2 linked regions of the Styela clava genome follow. The protein of the gene in region 1 interacts with the protein of each later gene in a pairwise test. Links are inferred from orthologs where the notes say so. Each region holds a gene or a part of one and is shown on either strand. Other genes may lie near its edges.

The links.
Region 2: the proteins of kinesin-like protein KIF23 (region 1) and rac GTPase-activating protein 1-like interact in a two-hybrid assay, tested with the Drosophila melanogaster proteins (3 studies listed by BioGRID). The link is inferred for Styela clava from reciprocal best matches to the Drosophila melanogaster genes pav and tum.

The regions. Positions count from the first base shown.
Region 1 is NC_135250.1:9,098,502-9,114,424, forward strand, and holds the start of kinesin-like protein KIF23, read left to right. Parts: upstream 1-7,863; 5' UTR 7,864-8,003; coding exon 8,004-8,014; intron 8,015-8,223; coding exon 8,224-8,290; intron 8,291-8,771; coding exon 8,772-8,873; intron 8,874-9,166; coding exon 9,167-9,272; intron 9,273-9,633; coding exon 9,634-9,770; intron 9,771-10,128; coding exon 10,129-10,247; intron 10,248-13,617; coding exon 13,618-13,782; intron 13,783-13,872; coding exon 13,873-13,985; intron 13,986-14,414; coding exon 14,415-14,536; intron 14,537-14,964; coding exon 14,965-15,101; intron 15,102-15,923. Other genes in the region: uncharacterized protein LOC120346194, read left to right, coding at 1-67, 1,167-1,310, 1,483-1,786, 2,626-2,771, 3,065-3,228, 3,597-3,870, 3,953-4,472.
Region 2 is NC_135259.1:2,655,117-2,670,885, reverse strand, and holds the start of rac GTPase-activating protein 1-like, read left to right. Parts: upstream 1-7,345; 5' UTR 7,346-7,427; coding exon 7,428-7,524; intron 7,525-7,645; coding exon 7,646-7,740; intron 7,741-8,200; coding exon 8,201-8,308; intron 8,309-8,893; coding exon 8,894-9,000; intron 9,001-9,110; coding exon 9,111-9,285; intron 9,286-9,549; coding exon 9,550-9,609; intron 9,610-9,982; coding exon 9,983-10,039; intron 10,040-10,723; coding exon 10,724-10,865; intron 10,866-11,265; coding exon 11,266-11,366; intron 11,367-11,656; coding exon 11,657-11,734; intron 11,735-11,818; coding exon 11,819-11,965; intron 11,966-12,779; coding exon 12,780-12,890; intron 12,891-13,413; coding exon 13,414-13,509; intron 13,510-13,939; coding exon 13,940-14,053; intron 14,054-14,281; coding exon 14,282-14,479; intron 14,480-14,802; coding exon 14,803-14,947; intron 14,948-15,769.

The sequences.
Region 1 (15,923 bases):
GGAAAATTCTTGAAAATGATGAACTCAATGTGAAAAACGAGAAGCTGCCTCTTCGTGTCGTTTTGAGGTTAGACCAGGGGTCACCAATTTTTTTTTTGACTGCAGACCAGGTATGACTCAAACTGTGTTGAAACGGGCCGGACAAATATTTTTGTCAATGCAATACAATAAATTTCCAAAAGTAAGAAAATCCTTTCAATTTATTCAACAATACAAATTCTACATTTCTGAAGTCTTGAATATTAAATTCTATATCGCAGAATATAGATCAAGAACAACATGAGGTTACCTGTTAAGATAACAATTGCTGTCATGAATATTCGCATGTAAGCAGTACAAAAGTTAATGTGACTTGTACTATTAGCGTAAAATTCACGTTCGACGTTTATTTTAGCACGAGAAACGTACACAGCAACGGCACGCGCCACGAGTGTATCCTTCGCGGAAACGCTGCGTTCCGGTATAGAATTTTAGAAAAATAGTGATTGACTTACTTGATTCATACTTAAATTTCTAAATCACGATCAAAACTAACGAATAGCATTCAAAATCGCGAAAACGAGATATCATTTGAAACCACAACTGAAAATCCGGAGCGAATGCGAGAAGGTCTATTGTTAGGTCACGTTTTGCATCTTGCTGATTGGTCAATGTTACGAAATAAACAAGTAAGTCGATGCTCGGGAATACATCCCTTGGAAAAAATGCACCTTGTTTTCATGTTATTGCGGGCCAGATGAAAAGATGCCACGGGCCGCATCCGGCTCGCAAGCCGTAGTTTGGTGACCCCTGGATTAGATAGTCAAAACTTCTCATGTCTACAACACAATTATATATATATTCATTTGTAAACGGCATCGTGTCATGTAAATAATATTTTATGTCCCTTTTTATTCAAACAAGGGGTGTATATCTACATATATATCTTAATTTTGATTCCGTCGTCTTCAAGTACATTCTATAATCCACAAGATAAGCTGCTGGTTCTCACATATGGTCATTTTATATTCCACTATTTTAGCCACTAGTTTTCATTCATACACTGCAGAAGTTGTGTAGTATCTAAAAAAATTCCCCAAAATTTTTTTTCTCCAATGTTTGTGGTTTGAATTTTGAACATCCAACGCTAGCCCACCCTTTTGATTTAATGGAGTTGTTTTTGACAGCTGGGCTAGTAGTCCAATCAATCGTCATCGCCAAACGGATTTCTTCAATCTTCTGTTCTCCGTCAGACTAGGTTTGTTGAAAGCGGAATTCATTGAAGCTTTTGTGAGAAATCACGACCTCGTAATATCATCTGCACGATCGAGGTAACTTGTGTCAAGTTTTTTAAATGTTGTTTTACTAATTGTTTATCTATGAATGCTATGGTATATATATATAAGATTCTGCTTTGGAGCTCGAAATATTTGACATAATTTTTTAATCATATTATATAGTCAAGTATTAGTTTCTTGCCCTAAATTAGTATTTTTAACGCAGATCCCTCATAGAAAAGCAGATTCATTTATCGAGGATGAAGGAAAATCTTGGAGACAATAAAGCAGCTTTCACAAAATTTGCTACCGATGTTGGCACCAAGTTATTTAATGCAGACATATCATTTCCACCAACATCGCTAGAATGCGATATACTGCGCCTCACTTCGAGGCCTCGTTTTCCGCGAGAAGTTATTCTAGTCGTGGGCGGATGGAGCGGCAACGCTCCTACATCATCTAGCGAGGCATATGATCCTGTGACTAGAACATGGTGTGATACAAATATAGCGTTTCCGACGCTCTTGAAGGTAAGCGTCGGCGAAAATCTGTGGTTTATATTGTTAGACGCAATCTTTCTTTCTGATGTGATCCATATTTTCCATCCGACTAAGGTTCCGTAACAGCTGTCGCCTCGCAGTAGGACGCATACATACGCATGACTGGGTTTTTTATATATACATGACAATTAACGGCACAAAATACCTAATGTGTATAAAGAGTAACTAGAGTATATTTTCGATTGCAATATCTCAAATCGTTTGACGACCTTTAGTGTTAAGTAGACTACTTCTGATTGCGTGTTATTCGGGGAAATTGAGAAACCAGGCACGCCATTTTTGGGAATTGCTCCAGAAAAAATGCTTCCCAATCAGAGAGTATATTTTGTTATAATAAATACCAATGAACTACACCTTTTTGACCACGTTTATGTTTACTAATGTGCAAAATATATACCTAATACTGGCTGTTATGAAAGGTATTGCCAGAATCTTTTTCACTATACCTATTTTAGCACCACTGAAGTACATTTCACAGAAGGTAATAGTGAAAGAAACTAGAGCAGAATCTGCAAAACTCTGCTGTCATATATAATACTGGGTGACCGTACATTTGAACCCATGTACATTTGAACCCATGTCTATATCCGCGGGTTCAATCAATATGCAGGTGCTGAAACCCATGGGTTAGGGTTAGTATGGGTTCAACTATCCGTACAACAAAAAAATTTCAATAGGTGCAATAGTATGCAGGTGCAATTGTCATGGGTTCAAATGTACGTGGGTTCAAATGTAATGGAACCATAATACTGTACTGATTTAGTAAAAGCAATGTAATCAACTGAAAACTTAACTATTAAATTCTATAGAAACCCCGAGCATATCACGGCGTGTGTTATCTTGATGGAATGTTATATGTTGTTGGTGGATTTGATGGTCAGTTAACATACAATTCCTGTGATCGTTATAATCTCATATCAGGAAAATGGAAGAAAATGTGTGGAATGCATCACAGGTATACTTGCGCTCCATGAGCACGAAAACGTTGATACATATGAAGAGAGAAAGGATCAATATTTGTGACCGCGCCGTACTCGATAATATGAGCCCATAATATGGGTATTGGCGATTACTACTAAACACTGCATATACGAAAGTATACTGTACTGGGAAATACAGTGATATGAATAAAAAATTTACCTCAATTGTTTATTATTTATTAATACCCAAGCGTATGGTACATTTGGTGTAATTATGTGCAAATTCGGTATGTTTCAACTTATTAAAATCATAATGTCACACTTGTAGGAGATGCTACGTTGGAGTTGCTGAACTTGATAAATTGATTTACGCTGTTGGTGGATCCGAAGGTGGAGGGGAACATTTAAGATTAAAATCCGCGGAGAAATATGATCCGAATGTTAATGTCTGGACTCGTTTACCCGATATGACTGAAAGAAGGAGCGATGCAGGTAACATCTGATCAGAGAATGTAAATCACATTTTTAACAATATAAATATACTAAAGCATGTGTAGTCGGAACTTATCAGTCTGCATAAAGTGAACAAATCTGTTGAAATCAACGATGAGAGAGTAGCATGACGGACTATATCGTGCCAGCCAACCTTCAGTCGTTAATTATTATATATATATAGTTTGTATGAGCGCAAAAACAAGCACACGCATTGTATTGACATGCTAACACTATAGAATTAACTTTTGCTTGTGGTAATTTAATGTTAATAAAGTAATACTTTCATTACAATGCATTTCATTGAGTTTAAACTTTGGGAACGTTTGTATTGGGGCATTTGAAATATAATTCTCCGTTTGTTTCAGGTGTATGTGGGTTATCTGGAAAGATATACGTTGCTGGAGGTTTCACTGGACACCAATGCGTATTTTCTGTTGAATATTTCGACACAGAATCTCAACAGTGGTCACGCATTATTCCGATGCGAATTCCTCGTTCGGGGGTCACTGTTATAGCCTACAAGAATCGCGTTCTTGCTCTGGGTGGATTTGATGGAAATTCTTCCAGGTTGAATAGTGTTGAAGCTTACGATCCACAACTCAACTTATGGACGACATGGCCCGATATGTCAACTGGCAGGTACCATTATACTGATCAACAATTTTATATATTAACTCGGATTCGATCCACTAATTTTAAACTCACTTACGTACATTGGCAGGTCCAACTTTGGTGCGTGTGTGCTCGGAGGAAAACTTACTGTTATGGGTGGATTCAATGGAGTTTCCACTTGTTGCAACGTAGAATACTTTGACGATGAAGGCGACTCGGATGACGTAATTGCTGGAGGAAGTGACGCTGAAGTTCCTGGTCCGAGTAATCGATTGGCTCGGCACGGCAACGATAGCCCTTCGTATGAAGGTAATGGAAGCGGCGACAACGATGAAGATAATGCGGATGGTTTGAGGCATGTTTTAAGACTACAAAACCTGAGGCCCGAAAACTTGCCTGCCAATCGTGAAATTCCGACCGGAGTTTGGCGTCGTCTGCCGGATATGAAAATCAGTCGAAGTGCACTGAGTTGCTGTGTGGTTAAGAATCTCCCACCGCCTTTTCTACGGTCAGTGGTTGCTCCTCTTGAATCCTCGGGGCATCACCCAGTGGCAGGATCGACGCAACAATGGGATGCTTTGGATAGACTAATGGCTGTTTGCATTCAAAATACATTTCATAACAGTTGAAAGTGCCATTTACTACTGGTTGCTTTATTGCTAACGCTGTCATTTTTATGAATCTCGATTTCTTCTTTTTTCCTAACTTTTTTATTCATTCATGTTTTTGCGCCATTTCTTTGTTGTCCACTGTACTATGAATCGTCAGTTTATTTATTTAGACATATTATGAGTTTCCGTTGCTCGTATTTTTGTTTTATACGCAATTTCATTAAACAATAATGATATAATAATATAGAAGTATATTGAAAAAAAATGATGATTTCTGACTCAAATTTATCGATTTGATTATGCTTAATATGCGTTCCACATATATTCTTGTATTTGTCAAAATATGTACTTTTAATTAGAGCTGTTATGTTTAAAGTTAGATCTACGTAAACTATTTATTTTTTGTTTATTTTAATAGATCTTAGGTATTTACTCGGCATTTAATCCTATACATTTGTGATATGATTGTTTGTCATATTTATATGATATTTTTATACATATATACTTTGTACATATATAAAATATATATATATTCACATACCAACTGGTATCAGTCTCTTTATATTTATTATTGTCTTACAATGCGAATACACTACAAAGTTATAAATTCAATATACAGCAACCTGTCGGGTAAACAAAATTTATTTATTTCAATAACACAATTTGTACCAAAATATTAGGCGCGTACAAAATTGTTACAAACCACGCGAGATATTTTCAACATTCGTTTCAAACTTACGCTCGATGTTATACCTAGGCGACGGTCTTTAGCATTATATCACGATTCTACTGAGTAGATAACTGAGAACACATTTCAATAAAAATTTACAATGCTGTTTTGAGCCGCTACATGTGTTGTACGTAGCAGTCCGAGGTCATCACATATAGAGAAAAATTTACTTTCAACTAATATATAATTGTCGAACAATGGACCTCTCCCCGACCTTTGACCCCCGAAAAATTCTTCCTATACTTTACCATTGCAAAATTTTCGGGGTTATTTCAAGAGTGCTTTTGAGAGTTGGCGCCTGTGAAATGGGGTATGTGTTTCAAACCATCATTATGATTTATCGCATACAACAACCTGTTTTTTAAAGGTACCGTTAAAGAATTTTAGCCTAGTCTATCACAGCTATTTCTACACTAATTTTTATTACTGCAATTAAATTAAAACTCCTAGGAAGACAGGGTGACCATTGAATTATCTGATTTACATTTAAGTTTCCAAAACACAACTGAAAACTAACGAATAGAGTTCAAAAATGCGAAAACGAGGTAATGTTTACGACCACGCTTGAAAATCTGTCTGAGTGAGAAAACTGTCTGAGAGGATGCGAAAAGGAAGCATTGTTACGTCACTTTTTACAATTTGCTGATTGGCCAATGTCACGAAGTAAACAAAGAAGTCGATGCTCGGGGAAAGGTCCATGGGAATATATATACTTCGTAGAAAAGTTGAAAATTTAATATACAGCAACCAACCTACCAGTGAACAAATTAAAAATTTGTTTACTTGTCCGAGATCATTACATACAGAGAAATATTTACTTTCAGCTAATATGTTATTGTCTTATAAAGGTAATATATCTACTATAAATAAAATTTAAAAATTTAATATACAGTAACCAGGTGAACAAATCAACGTAATGTGTACTAAATAATTACGCGTTTTTATTCGCCAACCCTCTTGATATTTTAATCTTTTTCTATGACGAAATAATATAAATTTCGCTACAGCGAATTCGTTTTAAAGTCAATGAAGTGTTTCGGCGGGGATATCCGAAAAGCCTTATCTTCTGTGGGCGCAAGCATTTTGATTTGTAGACGTTTTACAGACTATTTGATCACGTTAGTCGCGAAGGGGCGAGTGCATGCTCCATAAAGCTAGAAATTCTTAAACATTTTTAGTATTTCGATTATTTTTACGAAAATATTGTTAGAGATTAGATAAAATGTGTAAAGTCTAGTATGCTAGTGCAGCAGTGTGGGCTTTCAGTGTACTGGTGTAGGATAGGATAGGATAGGATTTACATATTTATCCCGGGGGAGAGGAAAGCCGATAAGACGGCTTATCCATATGGCGAACCACGGCCTCTCGTCCGGTTACCATTCCAAGTCGGGTATGGGATTAGTTTTTTACTGTATTGTTTGTTTTCGGAAGCATGGACTTGGTGGTGGAGGAAGCCGTAACCGACCAGCGGTTACGTGAACCACCCAACGACGGCGAGGAGTCCAGCAATCCTCTCGCACATAACCACCCCTGCATGGGATTCGAACCTGCGAACCCACGCAAAGTAATTAGAGGTGCGGTGGCGAGCGTATTCCTAACGCTTAGCCCGTTGAGCCACACCGCCGCGCCCGGTGCAAACATTGTCTGATTGTAGAAACTTCAGATGCAACTGGCGAATGTTTAGGTCACTGATATGCAAATTTTTTTTTTTTCAGAAATGTGAAATGTGACACAATACACAATTAACATATTTTTTATATTATTGTTTTGCGTGGGCACTACTGCACTAGGCACACTTAACAGATCGAGAGACATTGTCTCATTTCTGCGTAAAAAATACAAAGAAACTCAATCTAAAAACGTCATCGAATTCATCAGGAAAAAATAATCCGATTTATCTAAGAAAAAGTTTTCTATCGTGACCAAAAACAGCAATTTTTGTCGCCTGACGGCCACAATTAATTTAGATTAATATCGAAACAAGCATGGCGTGATATGACGCATCTGCCGTAGTGCCAGGCGCCCCTCGTTTGTGAGACACATGGAGTGTTCGTGTTTTATTGAACCAAATCACGGGACATTCTCGCGATTTGTATAGTGTACCGTACTGTATTATTGTCACTTATGTAATCTTTTTGTATATGCAACGATACGAAGATCGATCAGGTTATAGTAGGCAATTTCCCCTATTCTCCACAGCTGGGTCATCATGTTACGATTTCACTCTCGTAATGAGATGACGTCAGATTTAATCTTTCTATTTTCTAGGTAGCCTATAACAGTATTAGTTGTCTTGATTTTAAAGCAAGTTCGCCTTTTCTCTGATTCAAAGCCAGAATGGAAAGTCGTTCTTTTTGAACACTAAATTTTCTTGCAGTCGTTTTGATTCTCATTCCATTCATAATTCTGTATGATTCACTTTATTTGTCGGTGAACTATGCCGTACTGCATTCTGAATTTTACCTAAAATCATATCTTTAGAACATTGAGTATAACTAATTTTGAATGTATTCGATTTCTTCCGGGCATTCTCGGTGTTGCATCGAAATATGTAATCAAGATCTGCAGGTCATTGAAAGAAATATAAATGAAAATTCATTTCCGTCATGTAAGCAATAATAAGGATAAGTAGAGAAAGTAGACTCAATATAATTCTTTATCTTTTTTATGCAACCCTATAGGACATAATTCAGTAATTACCTTTATTTACCAAAGATCAGAGTTGAAAAAAATACTGAATATTGAGTGACCGATATTTTTTTATTGAAAATCATTTTTCAACAGTTCCAGAGAGTGCTTGAAGCTGGTGTGAAGACGGTATGAGACCTCAGTAAGTGTCGAAATACATTTATAATTCATTTTATACAAATTAGCTTTCGAAGGGCTTCTTCAATTGATGACTGGACATTCGTATGCGTATCTTAACCATGTTTAAATTTTAAATTATTTGAATTAATAATTTTTTTTGTTACACAAATACCATAAATAAAAAATAAGTATAAATATTTATTATAAGAATATCATTGTATTTGATTTCAGACGAACACCAGCAAAAACTCCAAGGAGAGGAACTCCTAGATCAGGAGGTCAAATGGATCCAGTTGAGGTCGGTTTCGTTTGTTTTTGATGAAGACTTTTATAGGTGTTTGTTCTTGATATGTTTGATGGATATAGTTAGATATGGTTCCTGTTCTAGAATCCTGTTGTATTTGGCTTTCTAGCATTCTGAATGGCATCATCGCCTCATAAATTGTGATTGTGATACCAATAAAAAAGGATTTTTATTTCATTAAAAAATAGAGTTTCTCAAGTGAATCCATCTTCACCTTGCAAAATCATTTATGGTAGTTCCTAATATTGTTAGTATCGAAACGTCTGTAGCATTTGTTGGAAGTGCCCTCTTAATTTTTTGATTATGTAGTGCAAAATTTAGTTGCATCCTCTTTCTGGAATCGTGATTCTAAGCACTGACTTTCTTTTTTACCATAACGAGTTTGGCCCCCCAAAGAAACTAACATTCATTATGCCCAGTTCTGCCAATTTCTAATTTGATTTAATCTTTTTTAATTGCGGTCTTTTTAATTAAGGTCTGCTGCAGAGTTCGAACACTTCCCGCTGACGCAGAAGAAAGTTGTATTGAAATTAAAGATGATAAAGCTTTACGGATGTCAGCTACTGATGGAAGAGCTGTACGTAATACTCTCATAATTTAGAGTTTTTGTTCCGAGTATTATTCCCACACACTTTCTAGTAGATAACATTTGCTATTAATTATTTCGATCCGTGTCGGAGAACGTTTTATAGAAACTGTTAACTGAAATTTCGCCAGATAACTCAATTTTAGGTACTCCTGAAGTATGCGCACCAAGATGTCGCATAACCTGAACCCTAACCTGGTACACGACCTCTGAGTTCAGGCTGTGCGCCATCTTGGTGCGCATACTTCAGGAGGTCCCAATTTTATTTGTCTTATTCTCAACAGATTGAATGCCAATTTTCAAGGATTTTTGGTGAAAACATAGGGCAAGATGGAGTATTTAATGTTGTTGCCAAACCAATGGTTGATGGGATGCTAAAGGGGAAAAATGGTGAATATTTTATATCAATTAAAACATGTCTCTCTCCTATTACCTTCGAAAACTGATTATTTCATTAGAGCGTTGCAAGTTCAAATCTTTTTGGAGATGCATACAAGGCTTTTAAGTATAGCATATTTAGTGGCATTTTGACTTTGATCATCAAAGTCTGAGATTTTGACTTTGACTTCGATCAACAAAATTGATGACTATAACTTCACTCCCGCTGAATACGTGCCTCCTTGTTATGTGGTTCAAACAATCCGTAGTTCGTGTATGTGAAACTATTATATTAATGGCCACTAAATTTTTTCAAGTTCATGTATACACTATGCAGTAGAGATTTTTATGTGAATATTTATTTCCGTTTCAGGCCTTTTGTTCACATATGGAGTTACCAGCTCAGGAAAGACATACACTATGACAGGGACAGTCGATAACCCTGGCTTTTTACCAAGAAGCTTGGACATGCTCTTCAATTCATTGGAGGGAGTGCTTGCAACAAAATATGTAATTTGCATTCATTTTTATTTGAATTGCTTTCAAAACTGGATCAGAAAATTACAAAAATGATAATGTTTGTTTAGTCAAAATAAATAAATTCAATAAATAACTTTGCTTTGTAGAAAAAATATTTTATTTGATGTGTTGTCTATTATCTTACACAAATAAATAAAGATTATGCACTGTGAAGGGGCGAACAACTGAAATATAGGCTAAGTTTGTTGAATTTGAGAAATTTCAGATTTTGGGGAGAATTCGAAAAAGCTCTCTAGAGCTTGCCATTTGAAGCAATGAATATCTACCAATCATACTTAAAAATATACTTTGCAGCATTTTCATAAACTTGAAAACTTTATTTTTTCAGTCGTTCATCCCTGATAACATGAATGGTTTCTCCGTACAACCTGAAGCCGATGCAATGCTGGAAAAACAAGAAAGAGAAATTTTACCAAGGACAACAACACCCATGAAAACACCAAATAAGTAAGTCACAAAAAAAGTAACCCTGACTCAGTCATTTTTTTTTCTTCTTAAAATAGAAGTGTATAATCAAATTTATTCTGTGCAATTAAATTCTCAAATGTCACTAATTATAGTAATGATGATGACTTTTTTCAATGTTTATGTATATACATTGAAGATGCATGCTTCAGGGCAGGGGTCGGCAACCCCTGGCACGCGTGCCAATTGTGACACGCGAGAGGATTTCTCATGGCACGCCAAGTGATTTGATGCAGATCAGATATTTATTTTAGTTGTTCTACCAAAATTCTACATTTGAACAAAAATTAACAATTCGACAAATCCTTTGAAAAAACATGTAATGTTTAACTGCAACGACGGAAAGCCGAAATTGTTGCCACTTTTCGTTACTTTCGGAAAAGCGATGGATCAGAGGCCTGAATCTGTACGGGATTTCAGTGTAGATAAGCATATGCGGTGCAGCGGTGCCAGATTTGGCTACTTTCAGAAACGCTTCACTACCTGAAACTACTCGTTCACCCACTAGCAACTTTTTATACTATTGTTGGGTTACTTTTTGCCCTTTGATAATCGTGAAATATTGAATATTATTACATCAATTCATACCATTCCAGCAAAAAGTTGTACGAATCGCCGATTATTTTTGTCAGCGTGACGTGTTATTTTGACCGTAGACACTTTTAAGTCAGTGTTTATTCTCCCAGAATCACAAAAAGTATTTCACGTCAACGATAATAACTATTTTCTTTTTGTATTCGCCCAGATTTGTGAATTGGCTGAGAGTTATTACCGGTATACAATAATCGGCAGCGAGTTGCTAAAGTCCAAAAGGAGTGGAGCAGCGACACAAATTTTTTTATTGAAAAGTGGCAATATAAAATACTGAAAATAAAACAGTAAATAATTTGTTGTACGAGGCCCGTGACAGATTAAAAAAGCTTCTTTAAGCATTGTAAATTGCAAAATTTCGTGTGCCTATTGCACACATAAGTTTGAGCGGCATTGAGAATCATAAGGCCATTAGAATAGGAACAATTACTTTAAATTGCCGTTGGGAATTTTCGTGTTAATATTATACAATTCATATTATAAGTTTGGAAACGCGACTTTTTCCCCGAGTCGTGTTGAGATATAAGATAATTAATTAAAGTATATTCAATCAATTTTTATTGTACCAAAATAAATTTTACTCCGTGAGCTTTTATAGCAGATATTAGGATTTTTTTAACGGTTTCATCATCGAAAACAAAATCTGGGTGGCAGCATTGCGATAGAGCGGAGTCATTTTTGCAAGTACAGCTCAGATTTGTCAAATTCGCAAAATTGGAAAAATACGGATCAAAACTAGATATAACCGGGAAGTTTACCACACATTTTTATTTCCGCGGATTGATGTGGTATTTTAGGGTACTGATGCGTATGCGTTTATATTGTCGACGCAACTGCAGGTTAAATTGAAGACAAGTAAATTATAATATAGCAAGACATTTTAAATATGGCCGTATCGGTCATGGATTGATTACTTTGCACAACAGAAAAATCATTATATATTATCCGTCGAAAAAGACGTGGGGATTTCGAGGCGATAAATATGTATTTTTGATTTACTGATATACTTTATATGTATTTAATTGTACTCTACGAGATTTTACAGATCTTGAGATTTTTCTAGCGGCGATAACGAATTCGCAAGATCACAAAAAAGTATCGAAACTAAATACACTCAGGCATGTTTATCTCATATTTTATACGTCAACAGATTGAGCGGTATTTTAGACTAGTAATGTTTATATTTTGACGCAAGAAGACGCATCCGCGAGTTACGTTGGACCCAATTATATCAAGATAGAAGGGAATTTTATAGATTCTCGTAGCTGTCATGAATTGATTATTTTACGCGACTAATAAGTCGGTATACGCTAAAAAAGTCGGTTATTTTTACGAGCGTGTAATCACGGCGACTGTTTCAGAAGGGAAAGGAAATTTCCCTTGGAAATAGGAAATATGCAAACCACATAAAAATGTTTGGCATGCGCAGGTGCTCATTATTCATAAAATGGCACGCAGAGTTCAAAAGGTTGCCGACCCCTGCTTTAGGGCAACGGTGCACAACCTGCGGCCGTCGTGAATAAATAATGCGGCCGTCCACAATACTCCACATACAAAATCCTATTGACCAAAAAAAAGTCCAAAATATAGGATTTGGCGGCTATGTTGGCGTATATTGGAGCAAAACAGAGGTACTGCAAAAAAGGATGGTATATTTGCTGTTGGGGATTTTCCTTCACGGTTCAGATTGACCACGCGTTTGCCAGCATAGCAACGTAGCAAGCTAGCCTAGCAAGGCATCCGCAGCTTGAAGTACCGGGTACCTGGAGAATTAGTACCGAACCAGATTGTTAGACGCCAATCTGGAGTCTGAACAAAGGCTGATGGTATCCAGCCAGTTACCTGACTTTGCAAGTTTATCTGCCCACATGCAAGACCAAGGGAGACCAAGATTGAATTGCTACAATGCTTTGCAAACTTTATAGAATAAATTCATTAAAATATTTGACATTTTATTATACTTTTGGGGACAAGAAAATGGGGGTCTCCCCCCTCCCGGACTTTGGTGGATTTTTTTCAAAATTGTGCAACCATTATGCAACTTGCTGCAATATATCTGCTCAAGAATAGGTCCACCGAAAAGAAAAATCCGTTTAAAATGCGATTATTATACTTCCAAGTAGTCCTACATAATTCATAATTGGGCAAACTGCACATCACATGTGTCAAATACGCGGTCATGATGTCATAAAAGCCAAAAAAAATTTGCACGCTTTGGACACGCTCATCAGTTCTCTGGAGGCCGTATTGAATAGAAATAAATGCAATGTGGCCGCCAATAGCAAAAAGGTTGTGCACCCCTGCTTTAGGGTTATGGATTATTCACAAAGTTTATATTTTATTTTTGAATATTTTAATTCATATTGGTGAAGTTAGCAGAAAGTTTGTGGCATATGCCAATTTTATACTTCATGAAATATAACATTGATTACTCTTGTCCCTTCAAAAAAGGTTTCAGTCACCCAATCCAGCTGGCTGTGAGCTGCCACTCGTATACAGTCAGTGCACCTTCCAGGCAAAATGGCAGGAACTACTTAACTCTCTCATCACTATTATTCTTTATAGTCTTAGTAGCGCTTGGTATTTTATTGGTCAACCTAACGTCACTTTTATATTTTTTTATTGTAACAAAACAATACCTTAAAATTACGCAGAGGTCAATCTCTTATGAGTGAGTGCGCGTGACCTTGTCTTTTTAAACCAAACTTTTCATGAATTTCATTCAAGCCTAATTCTTTAAAATCTTTTTTTTCTGTTTTAGGAGCAGAAATCGTCCAGACCTTCGATACGAGATAGATTATTGCAGATCAGAACATGTGAATTCAGACATGAGATATGCTGTTTTCATTTCCTATGTTGAAATATATAATGATTATGTTTATGATTTATTGGAAGATATACAATATGATCCGTTCAGTAGACCAAAGTAAGTGATTACCTTTTGATCATTTTTTGTATACGATTTGGATTCTTTTTATATTTGATTAGTACAAATTATTGCTCAATATTTACTTAGACCTCCGCAATCCAAAAGACTCCGAGAAGACAAAAAACACAATATGTTTGTTTATGGAGTAACAGAAGTTGAAATAACAACAACAGAAGAAGCTTTCAGTGTTTTTAAAAGAGGTAAATCTATATTACTGTTATTTAACACTCATTTTCTGTGATGTACTTGTTGCGTGTAGTTTTATTTTTCGTTCAAAATATGCTACGTTACTCTAAGATGCGTTGGGGTATGAATTAGGACAGGGTTTTTATAATGGGTGCTTGGGCACCCAAGCGACCACGGAGGTTTCGCCATGTAGGCTACTTCTCAATAATTAATTTCAATCAAATTAACTGTGAATTGTTTAATTCAAATTTGCCCATTATCAATAAACATAGAAAAAAGAATAACTGATATGAACTTATCAAAAACTAAACTAGGTAAACAGGGGCCCACAGAGTATTCAGAGTCTTTTTATGGGAGCCATGGGTCATAAAAGTTCGAGAACCACTGAATTAGCAATCTAAACAAAAATTACTTTTATTTTACTTTTTGCAATCTTTGTGCAGGTCAAGAAAGGCGACGAATTGCACACACGCAACTTAATGCTGAGTCAAGTCGTTCTCACAGTATTTTTAACATAAGACTTGTCCAAGCACCTTTAGACCCTCTCGGAGAAGATCTGTTACAGGTACTTGCATATCTTAGCTTTAGATACTGTAAATTGTATCATATCACCATTTCACTAAGAATAATGGAAGTTTCAGAATATTTTTGGTAACTTAGCCAAATAGCCAGTCGATAATCTGAATATTTTGCTACTTGTCATTCGCCCGATGTCAGGGACGTTTTAGGCTAAAAGTACTTTTTCCATGTAATTGTAGTTTATTACCTTAAATCTTTAAATGCAAAGCTTCTCAGTTCAATTATAGCTCTAAATTATGCAGTAGGCTACTAAGATAACAAGCCATTTTGCTGTTTCTTCCCTTTTGGTTCACTTTACCCCATAATGGGGTGGTGGATGAACTAGCCAGGCCCCGAATCCGAGATCTCTGATATTAATTTGCTGCCTTATTCTGTTGAACCAACAATAATTCTTTATTGAATACAAATCTTCAGGACAAAAGTTTGATATGCGTCAGCCAATTATCATTGGTCGATCTAGCAGGAAGTGAACGACTTGCTCGTACTGGTGCTGGAGGAGAGAGATTAAGAGAGGCTGGAAATATTAATAGTTCTCTGATGACTTTGAGAAGGTAATTAATCAATTTTGTGTTTTATAATATTCTGCATTTTTTATCTTTATGTAATGGAAATAAAGATGTGCTTATCTGAGTAGTTTGGTAATATAGAATATAATCTCGGAATGATCAAATGTTGAAATTTTATTTATTGAAATCCTCTAGCCATAATTATGCGGGCCTTGTATTCGATTGGCATAGGGCAGGGGTTCCCCAACCGTGGCCCGCGGGCCAAATGCGGCCCGTGTAACGATTTAAAATGGCTCACCGAGCTCAGGTAAAATAGTGTTTAACAGATTTTGTTTGCGTTATGAAAACTAGACTTAGTAAACAGACATTTTTTGGCAACGGCGGTAAATCCACTGAATCCCAGCTAAACAGTCGCGCACTTTTGGCCGCTAGACTCTCCGACCCGTGAACATCCTTCCGATTCTAATTTTGGCCCACAGCCAATAAAGTATGAGAACCCCTGGCATAGAGAATGAGGTTCCCAAACCTTCCCAACACTGGACACATTTATTTTCTGTAATACAAATCACAAGCATTAAAAAAATCCACTTTATTTGCTTTAAATAATGACACGAGAAGTAAAATATGCAATGTGATGTGTAAGCTTGTTTTTAGCGACCATATCAGGACTGAATGTTCTTGTAGTCTTATAGCTTTATAGTACTTTTGTCTTGTTGTTCAGTTTTAAACAGCCCTGATTTTTTTTGTCAAGTTTCAAACTTGGGCAGATAAGGTGTATTTTTTAGGAATAAGTGAGTCAATATTTGGAAACACGATCAAAATTATCTTCTAATCATACTAAGTTTTGAACATGGGCAGACGAGAATT
Region 2 (15,769 bases), on another chromosome or scaffold:
TTCTGAAATCAGATTCACTGAAGGAATTATTTTTGTCCGGGTTTCCAAGTTTTAGTCCAAAAAATCTCTTATTTCAGTATTCCATCGCCAAATGCCGGTACCACGTCCGCACCAGACGATGGTCAGATCAGAATCAAAAACATCAGGACAATTCGAAGCCCTCTACACAAACCTGGAAGAATTACGCAATGGCTGAGATGTCTAAATTTGAATCAATATAATATTCAGTTGAATACAATTTTGCCGTCAAATACATTCTCTGTTGTAAACATATTAATAAATTTTGGACAAGCACCATTTGGGAATCCTCTATAGTCTATAGCATATCAACAGATATGGGATGAGGAAAGTTATTAATTTTCCACTCTCCCTCTGTCTAGTTTGTTACCACAAACTAACACAGTGTTAACAGAAATGCAACACCAAGTGATGCCAAATCTTACTTTGGGCAGAGAAGATTCTAAACACATTGAATGCATGACTCCAAATCAGTATAACTCTCCAATTTGGCACCAACAACGAAAATTTACGACTCCCTTGCATCAAATCTTACTCCTTCAAAATTCCCAAACTGTAGCGATAAAAAAAGAGGTATCCAAATGGAACCAGAAAAATTATATGAGGAAATAAAAATATGCCAGTGTTCCCCACGTGAGTTAGTAATATCTCAACCTGTCCCTGGTTGGGATGTTCACCAGATCGCAAAGTTTACAACCCATCTTGTGATGGCAAACTATGCTATGGCTTATTAGAATCAAATGCCCGCTGTCTGACACTTTTGACAAGGTTTCTCGTCTTTTCAAAAATGATAAAGGGGAATGGACATTGAAAATGAATCACGATTATTATTTTCTAAAATGAGGTGTTTAGGAATCACAGGACTCAAGTGGTTTGATATCATTATTTCTCTACCTTCAGGTGCATGTTTTATTTATTTTATATATTTTAATGATGCATATTTTCTGGACATACAAATGCGTCTAGAATGCTTTTTTTTATTATCATTTCATAAACACGGTTGCATCAAACATGTCATCTTGAGGACAACAATTTTTTTTTTTTTGTAACTTCTGAAGCTTAATTTTATATGAAGAGAAGAAATTTAATATGCCTGTTGTAAATGTTTTATTGCCCAATCATTTATGTATTTTATTGCTTTTGAATGTATTTACAGTTGCTTTGGGCTTTCAATTGTGTATTTGCCATAGTGCAATTAGTGGAAACAGACGTGACAAGGGGTATAACAGGCTATTCTGAATTTTCCCTCTTCTTTTAACTGTTGATCTGATAATGTTGTAACACCCACACCATTTACTCATACAAACAAATCTAAGATTTTTCTTGAAAAGACATAAAATATGTTCTGAATGTATTTGATAAACTAAACTGCTTGAACTTAAAATAATTTGTAACAATGAACAAACTAAAACTCAAAAACAAAACTGAATACCTACTTTTAAAACAAAGGGCCGCTGAATTTAGTTAATAGGCAAGCAACAGTACATATTTGCTTAACTGTTTCTAGCATATTCAGTGGTATTCTGCATCCAGATAACTGATATTCTTCAACTCTTCTGATAGCTCTTTCTACTGGTATGTGAAGCAATCTTGCTGGATTGCAATGCCTCATCACATGTAAACCTACTGTTAAAATGAAATGAAGGAATATTATGATCTACAATTTTCGCTTAGGGGAAAGTGGGGAAGGTTGGGACACTTTTTTTCTTTTGCATATTTTGAGCCGTTAATTCAGCATATTCACTTAAGTTGGCGGGACTAATGCATAGAGGGGTAAATGTAGTTTTTATTCAGCGACTAAGAAATTTCCTTGCGACACACATTTTATTACCAAAATGCTTTGAAAATCGTCTGTCAAGTGTTCCACTGTACCCCACTTGTGGGGCACATTCGAACAGACTCTGGGGCACAATGGGTCAGTCTGCCAAAATTCAACGAAGTATGCCCTTAAAAATAAGCACTTAATCAGCATAATCGTCTAAAGCAGTGGTTCCCAAACTTTTTTGACCATCGCCCCCCTAAAGTAGTTTATACAACTTCATCGCCCCCCTCCACTACAAAAAAAAATGTAAAGCCAGAACGCATATATTACAGACCAAATAAGAAGACAACTCATAGTTTATAGTCTTTTTTAATGAGATGGATGAGCTTGGTGTTCGTCAGCGAGTTTATTATTATATCTAAAATTACCCCGTTTACTGATGGAAAGGCGATTTCGTTGTTTTGGTAGCAATAGTAGCACGGCAGAAAATCCCTTTTCATCATATAAGAGGTCGGAAATGAAACAATCCAGGGTTTTATCTTCTCAAAAACCGCCGTGTACTCTTGCCCTATAGCATTTAACTCCTTAAATACACCCCATTTCACATTAAAATAATGAAAACAAAGTTACTCTTTCTAAACTTATATTAATTATTTTCGTACATCTCGTTCATCCCTATAGCCTGATGACCTGCACTAAAATACATGATATATAACGGCCTTTGGTAAAATTCATCCCCGATTCCTCATCCTATCACGTCATCCAGTCCATAGAATTAATCAGCCGATTGTTTGGGATTCGTGCACTCGGATGTGGAAGAAGTCGTGACCAACTAACGGATACGGCCCAGGGGTCGGCAAATTTTATGTCGCTCGCGGGACAAAATTTAGGGTTGCTAGTCTTTTACGGGTCGCATATATTTTTTTAAAAAGTTAAAAACGGAACAGCGTGCGAAAACTGCGACAATTCGTGATCTCAACTCAGTCGTCCTATTGAAAAATTATTACGATGACATTTATTGTGACATTGTCTTGTTGCTGTATTACGCTTGATAGCCTTACGACGACAAGATTGGAACATTTTCTAAATGAACATCACTAATCCTAGTTCTTTGTAATGTTCATTTTCGAAAATAATTGTTCGCACAAATATGTACTTTCAAACATCGAAGTGAATATTTTCGCATGGTTTGTGAAATTTTGATGAAGATTTTTTTAAAGAAGATACATTCTTACAAAAATTAAGCGGTGAACGAATCTCTTGAATAGGCTATGAATTTAATTTCCTCATTGCATTGCAATATATTCGAAAAATTTACTGCGCTATTGAACCCCTGCACTCAACATCAACTTTTCTGCGTGTTTCCATTTGTCTAATTATAATTAAATTGTAGGCTCGTTAAATGAGTAGCTGTAGAATTTTTAGGATATAATGAAATTCAGTCTAAACGTGTCTCACGATAAATTCTGTTACGTAAAAAATGTAATTTACTCCTCGAGCGTAGATTATAAATAAAATTAATTCTTAGTCAAAACCGCCGCTTGGGTGTTTCCCCGGGCATATACTTCCTTGTTTACTTCGTGACATTGGCTAATCAGCAAGATGCAAAAATAAACGTAACAATGCTCCCTTTTACATCCACTCAGACACATTTCTCACTCAGACAGATTTTCAGGCGTGGTCGTGAAAATCACCTCATTTTCGCGTTTTTGAATTATATTCGTTAGTTTTAGTTGTTTTTTCGGAAATTCAAATATAAATCGAATAAGTCAATGATCACTTTGTCTTCCTAGAAGTTCCAGTTTAATTACAGTAATCAAAAATTAGTACAGAAATAGCTGTGATAAAATTCTTCACCGGTACTTTTAAAAAACAAATTGTTGAATGGTATGAATTAGAATGATAGTTTGAAACAAATACCCCATTTTACAGGCAACAAGTCGCGAAACCACTCAAAATAAGCACTGAAAATTTTAAAATGGTAAAGTATAGGAAGCATTTTCCGGGGTCAAAGGTCGGGGAAAGGTCCATTCAGTGAAGCATCCCGGGTCAGGTTATTTTACTCCGGCCGTATTTTGCCGACCACTGGGATACGCAAACTGCCGTACCTTACTGCGAAGACGAGTCCAGCAATCCTTTCGCTTGTGATAATCACCCACGTGATTCAAACTTATGAAAGCACGCAGAGTACAGTAACCAAGTGTACGATGCGCCGAACAAAAACGGGTTTCGCGAAATCGCCCCCCTGTCGCCCCCTTCGACTTTTTCGCCCCCCTCTGTATCGTTTTCGCCCACCGGGGGGCGATATCGCCCACTTTGGGAATCACTGGTCTAAAGAACAGAGAGACTTCGAATTTGAAGATTTAATATTTTTTAAATCAATGTTCAACTGGAATAGTTCAGATATTTGGATAAAAAATTTTGCAAATAAAACTGATTATTTCCTTCCGGGAATCTAAATGTGGAAATATTATTGATTCTCGAATATATTCCATATTGGGCCATGGGTCGAAAGAAACCATAATACTACACAAAATATAACGCATTTCTAGGTCTCTAAGCACTTATTGTATCAAACACTGTCGAATTGTGCCCTGTAGGGCATGTCCCACTGAACCCAGGTCCATTGTTCCCCATAGGAAACAAATATTTTCAGACCATCCCACGGCGAAATTCGGAAGGCACATCCACTCGCCAACGTTATGAATATTTTACAGTGGACTAAAGCTGAAAAATATCAGACGGTGGTTTGTCATGTTGGGAAGGCTACAGTAGAAAAAAGAAAAAACTGAAACGGTGAAATTTTAGTTTCAACCTCCCAAAACCAATTTCACCTCATAGCTTGCGCCGCTCTACCCGTCCGTTGTCCGTTCGCGGGGACGTTGTAACTCACCGGAGGGCGGATTGAAACATCGAACCGCGGACAGGATTTCTTGCATGACGGAAATAAATATCTGAATCTGAATCTGAATATAGTAACAGTGCGAGAGCTGATTTTGCACCGTGCCCCATGTCCCAACGTGCCCCACCTTGCCCTACAGCAGATTCCCGATGGCAAATCCATTGCGAACATTACAGAATCCCCTCTTTCCAGTAAAATCAAAATTCCAGATCTCCGGGTTTTTTCACCGTCTGATATGCCCTGTCTGATTGATTGTTGCAAGCACGGTATGCTGATTGGTCGAGAAGCGGCGGGACATCTACAATTTTTACTTACAGCAGATTCCCGATGGCAAATCCTTTGTCGAACATTACAGAATTCCCTCTTTCCAGCAAATTTAAAATTACAGATCTCCGGGTTGGCGCGGTGGTGTGGCTCAACGGGCTTAGCGTTAGGAATACGCTCGCCACCGCACCTCTAATTACTCTGCGTGGGTTCGCAGGTTCGAATCCCATGCAGGGATGGTTATGTGCGAGAGGATTGCTGGACTCCTCGCCGTCGTTGGGTGGTTCACGTAACCGCTGGTCGGTTACGCCTTCCTCCACCACCAAGTTCATGCTTCCGAAAACAAGCAATATAACTAATCCCATACCCGACTTGGAATGGTAACCGGACGAGAGGCGGCGGTTCGCCATATGGATAAGCCGTCTTATCGGCTTTCCTCTTCCCCGGGATAAATATGTAAATCCTATCCTATTTCCGGGGCTCCCGAAGTATGCGAACCAAGATGGCGGACATCGGAATGTAATATGTGTATAGGTTAGGGTTAGGCCATAATTTTAGGTATAAATACTACGGGAGGCTCTTGGCTAGTCTTCGAACTGATAATAGGACTAAAATGAGGAAAATTGGAAAGAAATTATCGCCTAACCCTAACCTGTTACCCATGTTAAGTTCCGATGTCCGCCATCTTGGTTCGCATACTTCGGGAGCACCCCTATTTCACTGTCAGATATGCCCTCCATTGATTGTTGCAGGCGCCGTCATGTGGATGATCTACGATATGCTGATTGGTCGAGAAGCGGCGGGACATTTGTTGTTTGAAGCCGGGATACAGATACACACCGGTACGCGTAGCTTCTCACCGTTCAATACTGCTGTGCTGCCACTCGGTAGTTAGGTATCGTCATTACGTAGATGATCTAGTTAGGCTATAATTTATTGGTCGGAATTATTGTATAGGAATAAGTAGATAGAAGTTTGCGGTCTCGCGAAGCAAACGCCGTAATTGCTTAAATAACCCTGAACACGAATGTCAGAATGTGGTGTGATAGATCTCTAGATAGATACCGGTACCGGTAACGTAAATCAGTACAGCAGTAAATGCTGAAATGACATGGAATGTCTGTACGGTATAAGAGATGGAATTGATAAAGCTTAATTATTGAATCTTTTGTATAAAGTTCCCTCCACTAACAGACTAATGAAAAATGGGACCTCCCGAAGTATGCGCACCAAGATGGCACACAACCTGAACTCAGGTTGTGTTCCAGGTTAGGGTTCAGGTTATGCGACATCTTGGTGCGCATACTTCAGGAGTACCGAAAAGTGTGTTGGTTTATTTTGAAAGCTCCACAATCTGACAATACCTGAATAGCCTACTGCAATACAAACAAATTCTGAAATTAAAAATGGAGAATTCTGGAGAGGGAGCAAATCCTTTAAAAAAGATTAAAACAAGATGAGTAGGCCTATCATGTGTGAAAATGAATGATGTAAGTGCTTATATAACTGTATAACGCCATACAAAAATGTGATGTGAAATATGAAATTTCGAAGTGTTTGGCAACGTCATAATGCAGTAATGAAATTTTAGGTTGTTGAATATTTTTACTGTACCATATTCATTCCTGCACACTACAGCACTATCCAAATTCTTAGAATTGTCATTTCTGCATTTGGTTCAATAAAACAAATACTCCATGTGTCTCACAAACGGGCGTCCTCGTCTCGATAATAATCAAAATTAATCGTGGCCGTCACATGATCAAAATAGCCGTTTTTTGCTAAAAACTCTCGAATGTCACAGTAGAAATTTTTTTTCTATGGTAAATCGGATTATTTTTTCTCAAGGAATTCAATGATGACGTTTTTAGATTGTGCTTTGTAGTTTTTTCCGCAACTTCATTTTGCTGTATTTTTACCGATATTGAGGGATAACAAGGTCCAGCCGTTCCCCAAAGGTTTATCGGCAAAATGGGATTCTCTGAAACGAGACAATGTCCCTCTATCTGTAAAGTGTGCCGTACTGATATTTGGCTATTTTATAGACTAGCATACATCATGCTGTCCTAGGCATCTGTGCATGACATCATTTTTCGTAGTCTAAAGTTCTCATTGCCGTAGATAATTATTCCTACTGTCCTAAAGCAGTAGCAGGCACAGTTTTCCGATTGCGAGATGTCCTGACATTTGGTTCAATAAAACGGTTCGGTTCAAGGACAAACACTCTATTTATCTCTGAAGTGAGGGCGTCTGGTACGACAGCAGATGACTCATAACACGCCATGCTTATATAATAAATTATATCCATCGAGGCGTGAGTTGGCCATATTGTTTTCTGCAACATACAGCCATGAGTATCGAAAAAGAAGAATTAAATGCAATATAATTGGCCCTAATTTGTTGCTTTATTTTTTCAGATTTACCTAAATCTGTAAATATTTCAAATACTGTGAGTAGACAACATCTGATAACTGCTCAGATATGTCCATTGAAACATTCTCTAAGCTACCACTTGTTACACAACTGGACCAAGTGTTAAGAGGATATAGGATCTTGGCAACCAGTGGATGTGAACCTGGTATAATTTTTATTAATATTGTATCTGTATTTAATGTGACTCAAATATTTTTATTTCATAAGAAGTTTAAGGTCTAAATGGCCAGGTCAATAACAAAATTATAAAAGCTCTTACTTTTTAGAATTCTTACAATTTGCAAGTCAGTTTGAATCTGTTCGAAAAATAGGATATCAGGCTGAACAACTGGCGCAAGACCTTCAGGAAAAGCTGACAAAAGTAATATTACATTATATATGAAAATGGTCAAGCTTATTTCAATTCTTTGACTACCGTAAATAAAGTTCGACTGGTTAATTAATACTATATGTCTGCATTATTATGGAACTCTATTTTTTAATATCATTATATCTACACAAACTTTCTATAGCTGTTGTCTAGTTTTCAACCTCCGTTCCTAATGATAATGCCTTTCACAAAAAAGCATACCTCAGTACCTGGAGTTTGTTCTTGAGTAAGTTGTTATTAGATCATTCCAATCTGTAAAAATAAAATGGTTTACATCAAAAAGTTTGAAATACTATCTCGTTACTGGTCTTTACTCGTAAATATTATTCTTACTGCTAATATTTGCAAGAATTTTTGAATAAACTTTAGTTTAGACTGTCATATTCATACGTTATGCCCAAACCTGATCCTCATTTATGCCTCATTTGTTAATCAATTTTGAAATCTACAGACTGAAGCTGAGAGAAATGCTTTAATGATAAAACTGAAACATGCAAGAAGACAGATCGAGGTTGAGTTGAAGCAACGACAAAAAGCTGAACAGGACAGAGATGAATTGGTAATAATTCAGAATACAAAAGTATTTAGAATAAAATAAATCACATTGAAGAATATCTCCAAAAGCCAGGCACAATATCTTTTAATTAAAATAGTAAAAATCGAATCATGTTGGTTGAAATAATATGTAGATTTCCCATTTAACTTTTGCTTATTAAATAACATTTGCTTGATATGATTTTCATTTTCTGAGTAATGATAAAATACTTAACAGGTATGGAAGCTTTGAATGGTGTTACTGCATTTTTTTTTTTTAAATTCAGCTATCCAACCAAGTAATTGTACTCTTCCAGCGTTCATCTTAACAAAATCCATTGTTATGTCCCAAAAAGTTCGCTCAACAATAGCTGATTTAATAAGATGTTCATAGGTATGAAAGATGAACATTTACATACCTCACTTATTCATGTCTTTTGCTTTGAACAAGTTCCTATACATGTAAAGTGTTGCTATTTTTGAGAGGACCTAAATATTTTGGATTAAAGTGGGGACATTGGATTTGATCCTGATATGTGTAATCTGTGACGCCAAGAACTAAGGTATTCGAAATTCACACTCTGTATTGAAATTAACTTTGTACTTTCAGGATCAACAAATCATGCTGGTGCGAGACTTATTATTCAGTGATGATACTGGGACAACTGTTCCCCTCAATGAAGAACAACGTGGAAAGCTGGATTTTCTCAACTCCAGGTTACTTGATGTTGTGTTGATGATCATTTAGAACTATCTTATAATGGTGTAATGTGAATTTCTTTAAACTTATGTGCATATTTATTAATGTGTCGTAATGATCTTTTCAGTCGATTCGCGTCACCTCGTGGTGGTCGTACTATGCACAGAAGACTTCAGCGTATCGATGAGACTGGATCCATTCTTTCTGATTATTCCGATATTTCTTTCGACCTAACAGAAGACGATCTTGATGCGACTACTTTGCGCAATGGGAAGCAATACAGACGAGCTAAGATGGGAAGGGTAAGCGTCAAAAATATTGTATAAATGTATATTACTACGAGTATGAATCATTGGTATTTTAGCGTCTCGGTATTTTAAATTTTTTTCAATTGATTCTATGACTGCTTGTTTAGACTGCTTTTAAAATCTTCGCTAATGGGCGTTTAATAAAGAATATTTTATTTCAATAGTAGAATGTGTCATGCCAATGTTGAGTATGAAAGACTCAGGCTCGCTCAATTTAAAATTCTGGTCTGAAGATTTTTTCTGCAATATATTCTTTAGAAAGCAGCATACAATGATGAAGACCAATTCTCAACATCGAAGAGACAAAGATATGATGTGGTACGTATTCCACTATTTTTGCCTACTTCATGCTTGTTTTCTTATAATACTTACAACTCGAATATAAATTCCTAACACAAGTAACTGTTTGTAATTCATTTTGCATGGCATTTTATATCCGGATATCCCTTTTTTTATGATGTTTAGAATAGATAGAGATTTACTTGGTGGTAGATTTCCACTACTTCTTGAGAGTTTTAGATTTCTTCTACTCACATAGAGAGAGGATTGTGTGACCACAACTCATTATAAAATATCAAATCATTGAAATATTAGCTACTCTATGATTAAAAATGTAATATTTTCTGAATACTTCCAAATCAATATTAATTACAACTATCATATGCATGATCTAAGACTATTTTGTCCATAGCATAGTCCTGGACATAACAACAGTTATCAAGCAGCGGTGGGAGGCAATTACTATTTGGTATGTGGTTTGACCTTATTTTTGAGTTCATTTCTCTTACAATCGCATGCTTTTAAATCATTCTATCAGTCAGTATTTTCAATCTCAATTCTCAACTCAAAATAAGTTGCACTTTGGTATATAATGGGCACGAATTTGTACATACTGTTAAATGCATGCATAGCTGTGTGATGAAATTTGGGCCTTAATACATTTGATGTTTTTCAAATCTTAGCTCATAATCCATTTACCGTAATCATACAGGGTGGGGCAACTCCCACTTTTTTATTGAATTTAAAATGTGGGAGTTTTTTTTTACCTCAACCTGCCTTTTGGTTGATAACTAGACTTATTATGTGACAAAATTGTGGTATGCAAATAGGAATTCGGGACGAATTTTGTGTGTGTAATAAAAAATATATAATATTTTTCAAAATGAAACAAGTAGGTGTTGAATAAATCTATGATGTTATCATGTTGGTTTATTCAGACTAACCCAATTTTGTTGAAATTAATTGCATAAATATACAAGTTCAAACTTTCTGTTAATATTTAAAGTTACCATTTTGAAAATATAGCAAGATTTCAGTACAATATAGATCGAAATAAATTAGCACACCCAACTCTGAAGATATCTACTATGATCCAAAGTCTGTAAATTCCAGTTATAACATTGAAATTTAACATCCACTTTATTTAACACAGAAAACGAATGAACAATTTCGTTGCACTGTGGATGGACCAACTACAGTCAGTGTTGAAAGGTTGGAGAAGAGTTTTACGAGACCTGCTCCACATCAAGGTAGAAGACGTCAATCTAGGGAACATCGAAGAAGAAGTGCTGGATGTAAGATAGCTTTGCTCTTCACTAATTGTTAACAATATAATTATTCGTAAATTTATTGCCCTGCAAAAACTCTTGGATTTTTATTTTCCAAGAGAATTCATGTTTTTCATGAAAGTTCATGTAAAACTAATATAGCTAGACTTCACCTGTATGTTCGAATATCCTGTATGTCAGAATCGACTACCTGTCTAGTTTGTGTTGTATGCTACAATTAGGTATATTGTTGTGATAAAATGTTGGTAGAATGTTATCAATTGAGTTCTTCAGATGGTTGGTGGTTTGAAATATTGTTCAAAATATATAATTTTGGAAATAACCTATTTAATTCAAATTAAAATAATATGATTTAAACGAAAAAGATGTTACTTCTGTCATATACATAACTTTTCTCTGTTTTCAGTATCTTCCGAATCAGAAGCTCCACAGAGCGATGTGGATAAATTCTGGCCAACAGCACCTGAACCCAGCGCAAAGCCCAAGTCAATACTAAGAAGCATACAGGTAGGAGGACATGGCCTTGTACATTCCAAACAGGCTCTATTATAAGAAACAGAATTCATGGATTATTTTGCAAAAAGTTACGTTCTTTCTAGACATGTTCCAAATAGCCTGGATTCTGTTTTTTGGGATGGTCGTACTGCAAAGGATTGGGCATTGTATTTCATGGTTGGTAATTACACAGGCAGTCAGCTACTTTTCACTCATTACCAAGTCTATAATTTTGAATCGTATTTACGAGAAAATACAGACATTGCTGGAAATGAGCAATTATAATTTTAGCCTTTTTTTAGACAACACCAACTAAATCTGCAAGATCTCACAACATGCAATCTAAACCCTGTGTTATTGTGAAGGAAACTTGTAAACCAGTGAGTTGATTGAAAATTGTTACTTTTTTTTTTGGAAAAAAATTGAATTGGTACCTCTTCTTATCAATAGTACTTTTATTTTAGTGTGGAAAACGCATTCAGTTTGGAAAAAGAGCAATGAAATGTGCTGAATGTCGCTTGGTTACGCATCCTGAATGTGAAATCATGGCTCATGAATTCCAGTGTGATCCATCACAGTATTCACCTTCGGGCGGAAATTCAAACGATAAAGTATGTTGGAGCAGTCGTTCTCAACCTTTATTCTCTTGTGGCCCATTTTAGTGTCAAAAAACTGTTGGGCCCATGGAAGGTTTATTAAAAAATTTTTTGTTCAATAATATAAAAAATTAACTTCAACACTTGGACTAAATTTTGGCCATTACATTTCTTGGGACTTATTGTAGGCCCATTTTGAAAATTCTCAGGCCCCGGACCACCATGAGAATCACTGTGTTAGAGTTTTATTACTAATCGATTTTAATCGGTAAGTATGTTGATAGGTATTTGTCTGTCTGTATGTCTGTTAGATGCACGCGATATCTCACGAAAGCGAGATTGAATCTACGCCAGATTTTGCATGTGCATTCATCTTATCTTGGACCAGAATCCTATTGATTTTGGACGAATTATGTCGTATAATTAGCGAGTTATTAATTAATTAGTGATGGGACACAAGGTGTCACTATGGAGTAAGAGCGCTGTTTTGGGGATCCCCTAACTTTCGATCGATAAGTCTTCGGTCTTGAGTGCCTTGACTGATATTCTCGTTTATACTATTGGTAAAATTTCTTATTCTTTCTATTCTGTTATTGTTACTGAACAACTTAATTAAGTAATTTTGATTGCAGGAAGTTAATTTGCGACTTTATAAAAAAAATGGCATTCATATCAATCATATGTATATATATTATATATATATAGATAATAAATAAACTAGATAAAATATTTTTGGTATATATAAAAAAATTCTTCTATATTCATTGGTAATTACTAAATTTTTTGTAGTTTTTATCTCAATCATTATTATTTCATCTTTCTTATCCAGCCATTTCAAGGTGCGGAAGGATTGGAGGCATTTCTGCATTCGGATGAAAGTCCACAAATTCCACCTATTATTTACCACACAATTCATGAGATTGATCGGCGTGGGATGCAGGTAATAATGCTTAGACCATGGGCAGAAAGATATACACTCACTATGAATAAGAATTGGTATAAAGTAGCAAATAACGTGGAGGTCTCACATGCAGGATTAGCATATCATTTTCAACTATCAGGATATTGTGATTGTGATGTATATATAGGTGAATGTTTTACTTTGCAGGAAGTTTTTCAATTACCTATACTTCAGCTATATCAAGGCCTCAATGCAATATGTTAAAATTGTGATTGGACTTTGACTGCTTTTAGAGAAACTTTTTATTGGAAATATTTTTCATTGTATTGATTCAAAATGATTCAAGTATCAACATCAATCAGCATTTGTTGGTGTATAATAAACTGCCCCAATTCTACTTAAGGGCATAATTTTGGTTGGTTGTATCAACTTGTATGTAAATTGACTCAGACAATATTCTCCTTTTCTACTGAGTGAATGCGCATGACTTGTTTCGATCGAATTTTCATGGAAAATTTTCACTGGTATAATATTTTGACTTTTTTTTTTATAACTATTGTAGGAGGTTGGACTTTATCGAGTGCCAGGTATGGTTCGTGCAGTACGTGAGCTGAAGGAAAAATTCTTGAAGGGAAAGACGGTGCCTGATTTATCGAAGGTATATGTTGTTAAATTGCCTTTAACTTTTTGGAATCTCCTGCCTAGCTCTGTTTCTTAAGTGTTTACTTTTGCTCAAGCCCTTAAATTTTTTTTTATTTCTTTTGCCCGGTTCTGTGAATTTACAGGAAGCTATCAATTATATTGAATATTATTTAAATTATTTAAAATCATGATCACAAAGCTCAAATATGAAATACAAATACCCCAAACTACTAGTGAATCTCTTCAAGGCTCTGCTGTCAAGAACACTTGTTACTAAACCCTTTGGGGAAGATGTTCAATTTGGAGAATATTATGTACTTGAACTTTCATTATATAAGCAAAATAGCATCGATTTCTACCCAGCTTGCATATTTAACCATTTGTTATCATATGTTAAACACAATAATTGATTCAAGACAACTTATATATATTTCCTTCTTATAAAGGTTCAAGATGTTCATACACTCTGCTCATTGGTAAAAGATTTTCTGAGGGAAACTTTAAGGGAATCAATTTTGACTTTCAACTTGCATCCTAGATTTATTTCAGCTGCTGACAAGGTAAGTTTTGTAATATTTATCAGCGATGCTCAATGCTATATTTGTGTTTTTGTATTATTAATATTTGTGAATTCTTTAGATTGAATTTTGGAACGAATCAATTTTATTCAGTTATTGACCTTGGGTCATACTTTTTTGTGTTCACATATTCTTTGCTTTCTATAAGTTGCCAAACAAATTTATAATGTCATTGTTTTGTCATAAAAATGTTGCTTACATAATTTTCAGGACAATGATGCTGATCTTTTCCAAGCAATTAGTGAACTTCCACAAGCTAACAGGGACACTCTGGCGTTCATCCTTCTACATTTGCAACGGATTGTTGAAACCCCAGAAATAAGAATGAGTCCGGAAGCTCTGTCAAAAGCAATGGGGCCTTCCTTAATCGGATTTTCGTCAGATGAACCATCAGTCCATGAACTTCAGGTAACCTGGATATTTTAAGCAAATTAAATTACATAGGCAATAAATAATCGAAGAATTTCTTCTGAGATGAACACTCTAAGGGGAAAATTCATTTGATTCGTTTACTAAGTCGTTAAGCACTTTACATGTCGTCACTGATAAATATTTTTAATATATCTCAAATTTAATAGTGTGTTCTTACGAGTATGCTTATTTGGAATAAGGGCATACAACTGACAAATGGTGGTGAAAAAGGAAGGATTCAATGGTACAAGTGTTTTAATATCTGCCTTATACCATCATGTAATATATACATACGAAAATTTTGTTCATTTTTTGTCAAGACTTCATCTGGTTATCAAGAAAAAATATTGACTAGACTTTTAAACCTGTCAAGTGACTACTACACTAACATAATGCATAGTGGAAATCGTGCTGCTGATTCGAATGCTCTTCGAGATGTCAATGCCACTCCAGAACCTTGCAGAGGTAGGCTTAAACTAGAAAGTTATTTGTTCATGACACTAAGAATTTGAATTTACGAAACAGTGTTCCCCAATTTTTGTAGATTTTTCATTCTCTCCATAACAGTCTTCGGGTTTAGAGTTATACATGTGGCAAATCATAAAGTACAGAAACAGTCAATTTATTCTATTTAAATGCCATATCGACAGGTAGAAGATGACTAGTGAAATTGTTTATAGAAGCAATGTTGATTTTTTCAGCATTGAATAACATTGTATCAAATAATACTTGGAATGTTGTGTTTGCAGCTTGCTAACCTGTTAACTGATAGTATCATATCATTGTCTGAACCATGAACTACATTTTGGAATTGCACATATAAGATAATTTTCACTGTCCGTCGAAAATAAATTTTTTAAAGTAAATTAATGATAAATTAGTATATTTCAAAATGTTGTATATATGAGGCTGATTTCAATTCTAAGTTGTTTCATTTATTAAATTAATTGAGTAGTGTATTCCTGTATCACAATAGCCTGTCCTTCCTAAACTATAATAATTGATGCTTGGTTACTACTATTGTTACATCAAATATTCGATTGGATAGATAGTTTATAGCTGAGATGTAGGTATTTTTAAACAAAGGTCAGGTCAGGTGTAATTCAGTTTTAATATTTGTTACATTGGGCTATCCACCAGTGCGGAAGTATTGAAAAAGGATAAGTAGTTGTTCTCTCAGAAATCTCGATTGGAATACTCTATCATAAATTTAAGAATATATTTTTTTTTCAAAATGTTTATTTGAGACAATGGTACCAAAATAATGTTTGACATAACTTGAATTGA